Linked DNA regions of Oryctolagus cuniculus. The protein of the gene in region 1 interacts with the protein of each later gene in a biochemical or structural test. Links are inferred from orthologs where the notes say so. Each region holds a gene or a part of one and is shown on either strand. Other genes may lie near its edges.

Region 1 (4,382 bases):
GCCCAGCTCACAGCGCAGCCAGCTGTGGTGGGAGAGGGTGGGAAAGGAAAAAGGTCCACGTGAAGGCCCCCGCCCACCCCACACGTTAGGCCCAATACCTCCACTGCCCCCAGGCCGGGGGTTCTCAAAGCGGAATCTGGGGAACCCCTAGGCGGAACCCCCCAAGGGATGTGGTCAACCAAAGAGGTAGGAGACGGCTCTTCCCCAGGGCTCACATGCTTGCCCCGCAGGGTTACTTCCAGGTCCCCACCCCTCCTGCGGCTGGGGGGTCTTTGCTGAAGACTGGGGGAAGGGTGGGCTCGCCCTAGAAGCTTCCTGAACCAGGCTGCGCACAGCAGCTTCTGGGGCCAGCTCTCTCCGAGGGCTTCACCCTACACTCAGACCAGACAGACAGACAGAGACGCAGACGCTGCTGAGGGGCCAGGCTCGCTCCTTCCCAGGGTCCGGTGACTCCGCCCACCGGGCAGGAAGGGCCTCGTCGCCCTGGGCCAGGCTAAGGGCAGGGACAGAGAGCGAGCCGGGAAGGGGGCCGAGCTGTCCTGTCTACCCCCAGTTAGGAACTCGGACTGAGAGAAGAGGGACCCAGAAGGCAGCCGGGGCGGGGTGAAGACTTGTCAAGAGGCCAGGGTGGCCGCACGGGCAGAGGCTGCCGTACCTTCTGGCCAGCGTCAGAGCTCAGGCTGCCTGCACGTGCCCAGTCCGGCTTTGGCTCCCAGGGGTCGTGGGCGGGCGGGAGCCCTCGCTGGGCCATGTCCTCGGTGCAGGTGAGCTGCCGCCGGCGCAGCTCCTCGTCCGTCTCCTTGTCCACTACCAGCAGCCGGGTCTCCCCTTCGACAGCCTTGATCCTCTGCACCACCTGGGGCAGGCAGGGACGGGGGCAGGTCAGCGGCCGGCAGCCCGGGCAGCACGTGGACGGTGGCACCACTCCGGGATGGCCTGGGCTGGCAGGCAGACAGGCAGCCAGGCTGCCAGGGGTGGGCGGCTGGCCCCGCCGGCTCCGCCCCCCGCCCCCGGCTCCCTGACACAGCCAGCCCTGAGCTGCTCTCAGCCCAGGGTGGAGGTGACCAAGACGGCACTGAATGAGCTTCAGGGGCTCGGTCTGCCCGTGCGTGTGCACACGCTCGTGTGTGCGCACCATCTGTTTCCAAGTCTGCCTTCCAGCCCAGGTTGGAGGCGGGAGGTGCTGTCGGGTGTTAGTTTGGCTGTGCATGTTCGCTTGCTTTCAACTTTCTCACGGGAATCTCAACCTGCCCTAGACACAGACCGTCTGCCTGCAGACCACAGACCCACTCCTGCTGGGCCTGCGGACAGCTGAGAGCTGGGTTCCCGCTCAGGCCCCCGCACACGGTCGGGTAAGGAGGACAGCGGGGAGAGGGGCAGGTCTGCCCGTGGCACAGGTGCGGCGTTCCAGGCGCTGTGTGTCTGGGAGCACACAGGGTGCCAGCGTGTGCCAGCAGGGAGAGGGCAGTGCCCACTATGGCCCTCGGCCTGTGGAAGAGCGGAGCAGAAGGCTCCCACCTGCTGCCCAGCTCCCCAGATGCTGTCAAGCAACAGGGGGAGCGAGCCAGGCCCGTCCTCGCCCGGCCCTGCTCCCCGACTTGTGACCCAAACTGAAGCTCCAAGCCTCAGTTTCCATATTTGTAAAGCAGAGTCCCGGCCGCACCTCCTGGGGCTGGGGCTGGGTGTGAAGTTCTCAGACAAGTGCCCAGGGGCCCGGAACAGCAGGTGCAGCTGGAGCGAGGATGGCCATGGCTGTCACACAGAGGCGGGGTGCCAGCTCTGCCAGCCCTGCCTCCCCCACCTGTGGCCCTGACCCCCACTGCACTTCAGCACACAGCACCGCTCTACCCAGCTTCCAGTCTCGCTGGAAGACAGAGGCTAGGGGACCCCGGGAAGCCCGGCCAGTGGCTCAGCTGTCTGCTAACCCCTAGGCCCAGTACTGGCCACGTAGACAGGCCACAGGCTCAGCGGTGCTGTGAGGGACACGGAGCAGCCGGAGCAGCCGGTCCGGAGGGAGGCTGGACTCTGGCCAGGATCTGAGGTGAGTCCCTGGCCAGCGGGAGACGGACATCCCAGGGGTTACAGCCTGCAAGGGAAGAGGCCCTACCCTCTCCAGCTGCAGGAGCAGGGGGCAGTGGCCACAGCGCCCCGAGGAGGGTGAGGGTCGCAGCAGCTATGGAATGTGCCACCAGGGACTGCCAACTCGCACCGGATCCAGGCACCCCGGCTGCAGACACACTGGCCGGTCTACACCGCCCAGACGCGCAGGGGCCTGGCTGCTGGCACCCACACGGGCAGGACCCCGGAGGCCTTGCGCGGTCACACAGTCCCACAGGCTCAGGAAGCACCCGGGTTCACCGACACACAGGCTGGAGCCAGGCGGGGGGAGGGGGCCGAGGGCCGGCTTGGAGCCGCAGTGCGGCCCCTCCCTGCCAGAACGCCTTCCCCCGCGCTGCGGTGCGGGGCTGAGCGTCGCGGGGGAGGTGCGGGGCCCGCCACCCGCAGGCAGCGCCCAGCCGGCCGGGGCGCAGCGCGGCACCCACCTGGTGGTGCGTCTCGCCTTCCACGTTGACGCCGTTCACCTCGACCAGGCGGTCCCCCGCGCGCAGCGCGGCCGCCTCGGCGGGGGAGCCGGGCTCCACGCGCCGGATGAACTGCCCACGGCGGCCCTTCTCGCCATGCAGGTGGAAGCCGTAGCCCTGCTCGCCACGCACCAGGCGGCACAGGCGCGGCCGCAACGGCTCCGGCGCGGCCATGGCGCCCGCTGACCACCGGCCGGCCGCGGGCTGGCCACGGCGCTACGGGGCCCGCAGGCCGGGGCGCGGGGGCGGCGCGGGGGACGGGCGGCCGCCTCGGCGTTGCGCTCGCTCGGCTCCAGTCGCCTCGGGCTCGGGCTCGGGCTCCGGCTCGGGCTCCGGCTCGGGCTGGGGCACCGCCCCCGCGCCCGCCCCTTCCCCGCCCCCGCCGCCCGGCCGCCCCCGCCCCGGGTCCACGACGCGCTGGCCTGGCCCTGCCTCCCGGCCCCAGCTGCCCGAGGGGCTCTGGAGGGGAGGCTTCAGGGCCGGGGAACCCCTGTGTCTGGCAGCACGTTGGTGCCAGCGCTTCTGGCTTCCTGTGCAGGGCCTAGAGCCGGCTCCTGAGCTGGGGGCCAGGTGGGAGACAGTGGCCCCAGGCAGAACCCCCAGGGAGGCCCCGGAGTGAGGCCCTGCCTGCCCTCCCTGGGCGGTCCTTTGCCCACCCGCACGGTTCACCTGCTCCCCAGCCACTGCCCTCACCCCCGGGACCCTCCCGCAGCCAGGGCTGCCCTGCACAGAGCCCCACGACCTGCCTGGAGGCCCCTGGAGGCCGTAGTGACAGGGTGGGCTTTGTGTGCCCGTGGGCTCCCTAGAGGTCGGCCCTCCATTCTCGCACTTGGCTGAGGCCTACCCCAGGCCCCGGCAGACCCTGGAGTCCCAGGCTGCAGGGTCGGTCGGGGGCTGGCCTCCTGCCCCGAGACTTTGGCCTCTGTACTCTGTGGTCAGCACCGGCACACCTGAGCCGAGGTCTCTGGCACCTGCCCCCTGCCTCTGCCACGCCTCCCCTGCCCTGCGGCTGACAACCGCCAGCAGCACTTTGCCTGGCCAGGCCTCTCCAGGTGCAGTTTTACTGGCACAGAGGGAAGCACCCCTCCCCCAGGCCCAGGGCTGTGCGGCCCAAGCCTGCAGCCTTCACGGCTGAGGCCTGAGGCGGCCTGGCCTGCCCCGCCCCAGCCCAGCAGGGACCCCTGCCCATGCCTGCCCCAGGGGTGGGGCGCAGCAGTCCAGACAGTTCCCAGGTGGGCCCCAGTCCTCACCCCTTGCTCTCCCGTCTCCAGTTCTCTTGGCCTGGGCTCTCCAGCCCCCACCCACACCGTGGCCCCCTGGGTGCCCACCTCCAGGAGCTCGTGGCATCGTGGGTGCCCCCACCCTCACCTCTGCAGGTCTTGAGGGTCGGTGCCTTGGGCTGACCACCCGCCTGTCCAGCTGCAGCTGGCACCCTGGACCCTGCGCCCACTGTGTGCCCCCACCCCGCAGCGCCCAGTACCTGCCAGGCTGTAGCTTTGTGGCCACATTGTTTGAGGGGTGAGGAAGTGTTAGGTGGGAAGTTAGAAATGAGCCTGGGTGTGTGTTAGAGCCCTGCCCCAGGGGACGCTCCCCGGGCAATCCGCCCGCCGCCCAGCAGTAACCCTCAGGCCTTCCTCCAAGGCAGGCGCCCTAGGGGAACCTCCCGAGGGCTCCCCAAACCTGGAGAGAAGGGGGAGGGGGTAGAGAGAGAGGCGGGGGCGAGGGAAAACTGGACCCGTCCGTGGGAACCAAGGTCCTGCACTCGGCTGTCTCCTCTGAGCCGCCCGCCAGGCCTGCCAG
Region 2 (3,223 bases), on another chromosome or scaffold:
TCTGAGTTGCGGTTCTAATGTAGTAGTTGAGGGGCTTTGATTTCATTTTTCCAGTCATCATTTGGCTCTCAGGTTATTGCCTCTCTCAGTCATCTTCTCATTGTGTTTTCAAAACTGTCACAGGAGGAAGTTCTGAGGGTGATGTATCATGTCATTTCTCTTGGGATTTTGAGCCTACAGGTGGCAAAGGATAACAGGATGGTTATTATCATTATTATTACTGAGAGCTGGAAGAGACAAATTAGGGGGTAGACACACAACTTCTGTGCCTCCTGTGGGCAAGTTCAAGAAGTGATTGAAGTCCTCTCTCCTCTGGCCTTGGGTTTGCTCTACTTTAACGCAGGAAGGAAGCATAATAAAGTCAGGTACCTCCTGACCAATTTGGAATAATGAAGCTTCAGGTCCACTGTTGAAGAGATGCAGCTCTTTATGGTGTTGTGGACTCACACCATTTAAGGGAGCTCACATGAATCATTCCTCCTTGCAACTACCTCTGAGCCTGTGCCGGTTTCTGTCCCTACTCTGGCTTGACCTGTCTTCTGTGGGAGATCTCACTAATGGCCACTTCCCTAGGTCATAGAAGAGAACACAGTGCGGCAGTACGAATCCATCCAGAAATTGCTGAGTGAGAAGAGCCTCTTCCGGCAGGCCATCAGCTCCTCGGACAGGGCAAAGCTCTTCCCCCACAGGAACTCAAGCAAGCACAAGTCTCGGCCCCAGATCACTGCTCTGAAGGAGGAGGCAGAAGAAGAAGTGCAAGAAACAAGGCTCTAGAGAGCCAGTGCAAATGTTTGCATGGGACATTCCCTCATGGAGCTGGGGGAGAAACAGTTGCCTCTGCCTCAGAAAACAAGGAGAAATAATGTTTTGTTTTGTTTTGTTTTGTTTTTTAAGCAAACATTTTGGAACAAAGAGTTGAGGACATTCTTATGATCTGCATAGATGGCTTCCTGGCCATGGTCAAATCATGTGAGAGGTACTTCAAATCCTTGAAGATTAACCCCTGGGGTTTTTCTTTGCCCTTTGGTAGTAGTTGGAAAGGCAGCTATAAAATTCAGCCAGGTTAGATGTTCAGCTTACTGTTTAGTGAAAATTGTTCATTTGTCTTATTGAAGAACTGAAATCATGCTTCTTAGAGGAATGATTAAGTAATGGTAACTGGAAACTTGAGTGGTTCATATAAATTTATATCCCCCTTTCTCTCCTCTCTTCAAGATATTTAGAAACACAACTACAGTCATGCACTGCATGGTGATGTTTCTGTCAACAATGGACTATATCTACAATTGTGTAACACATAGCGTGGGTGTGCAGTAATAATCTAGGATGTTCATATAGCAACAAAATTATCTAATGACTTATTGCTCAAAATATGTCCCTGTCTTTAGGTGGCTCATGACGATACATTGTCCGCCAAGCATTCTGGCTCTCATTTCTAAGGAAGTGTTAGAATACTGTAAGAGTCAAAAAGCAGCACATCAATAAAAGCCCCGTTCCATTTAGCCTGGAAGTTAAGATGCAGGTGAAGATGGCTGCATCTCATATTGGACTTCAGTACTCAGCTCTGGTTCCCGAGTTTAGTTTCCTGTTAATGCAAACCCTGGGAGACAGAGGTGATGGCTCAAGTGATTGTGTTCCTGCCACCCACATGGGAGACCTGGATTGAGTTACAGGTTTCCAGTTTCAGCCCAGTCCAGTCTTAGCCACTGCAGGCATTTGGAGGAGTGTATAAGTGTCCCATTCAACATGTGGTTAGGAAAGAGAACTTCCGATTGTGCAGATTAGGGTTAGTACCATCCAGCTTTACCAAAAATCTAGCCAAGTCAGATAATCAGAATACACAGAGCAGCTCTCTTGATGCTGAAATTGACAGGACTTTCCCTTACCTCCAGGATGTAACAAGCTCATAAGACATAAGGACCAGAAGATGGCTGGAGAAGTGTGTTGTGCGAACTGTCACAGGGAAGCCCTTCTTCCCTGAGAAGCTCCCAGTAGAAAGTGCATGGGTAGATAGGCCATGGGTGCTATAGTGGACACAAGGAAACATGAGCATCTAGATCTAAATGGTGATGGTGGTGTGTTTTCAGGCTAACTATACATGCTTCATACTGTCTGCTCTGAAGGAGAGAGGGAATGGGAGACACCCCAAAGAAGAGCCAATCATGAATTAGTTTTATATGCTTTTTTATAATTCTGTGATGCAAATAAAATTTTCTCTAGGAAATATTTATTTTGATAATGTTTCAAACTCTTACATAACAATGCTGTGTTTTAAGAATGATCATATTATGAATTATATTTGTATGAAAGAATTTTATATTTGCAATGTTGACTTTTTATGCCTTTAGATATTTTTATGATATATTATGTCAAGTTTGGGTGAGAAGAACCTAGGGTAATATGGCCCAGGCCATGACTCACTTTTACTGTGTCAAGAGAAACATCAGGGCTGATGTTGCACACACCTATGTGGCTCTTGCCCAGAACTCAGGTTGTCTCTTAGATGTAGTTCTGAAGAAGATGGTACCATAAGTCCGACTGCTCCTACCAAGGACACACTGCCATTCCTACTTCAAGCTAACCCTGAAAAAGATCGCATTGTATTTATTACTGTAAGAAAATAACACATGTCAATAAATCCATACATTTGTGTGAAACTTAGCTGTTTCCAGATGTGTTCATTCATCCCACCACCTCAGTCTTTTACTCCAGTCTCTAGGCTTCATGGAACATAAAACAAAAATCTTTCTTTTGCACGTAGCCTTTTGATAATCTCAGATGAAATGAGACACAAATTTTAAAGTTATCCTTTTGAATTTGGTAAAACATACACAATAACATTTACCATTTTAAAATTCAGTTCGGTGGCATTTCATATATTCATGTTGCTGTGCAGCCATCAACATAATCCATTCATAGAACGTTTTTCATTTTGCAAAGCTGAAACTCCTTATGCATTAAACAGCAACTCCCCATTGCCTTCTACCCCCAATCCCTGGCAACTACTGTTCTAATTTTTGTCTCTACAAATTCAACTATTTTAAATACTTCATAGGAGTGGAATCCTGCAGTGTTTGTTCTTTTGTGATTATTCCACTCAGAATAATATTTTTAAAGGTTTGTCAGTGTTATAGCATGGATCAGAATTTTCTTCCTTTGTAAGGCTGGATAATAATCTCTGTGTGTATATATTACATTTTGCCATCCATTTATCCATCAATGA

Evidence for each region. The genes of interacting proteins can lie anywhere in the genome.
Region 2: the proteins of NHERF2 (region 1) and CFTR form a complex in vitro, tested with the Homo sapiens proteins (4 studies listed by BioGRID and IntAct, with this or other methods). The link is inferred for Oryctolagus cuniculus from reciprocal best matches to the Homo sapiens genes NHERF2 and CFTR.

The regions. Positions count from the first base shown.
Region 1 is NC_091450.1:33,196,698-33,201,079, forward strand, and holds the start of NHERF2 (Na(+)/H(+) exchange regulatory cofactor NHE-RF2), read right to left. Parts: upstream 2,807-4,382; 5' UTR 2,757-2,806; coding exon 2,544-2,756; intron 857-2,543; coding exon 656-856; intron 1-655.
Region 2 is NC_091434.1:153,239,350-153,242,572, forward strand, and holds the end of CFTR (cystic fibrosis transmembrane conductance regulator), read left to right. Parts: intron 1-123; coding exon of another isoform or gene 124-252; exon of another isoform or gene 253-563; intron 564-573; coding exon 574-774; 3' UTR 775-2,661; downstream 2,662-3,223. UniProt on the Homo sapiens protein: Epithelial ion channel that plays an important role in the regulation of epithelial ion and water transport and fluid homeostasis. Mediates the transport of chloride ions across the cell membrane.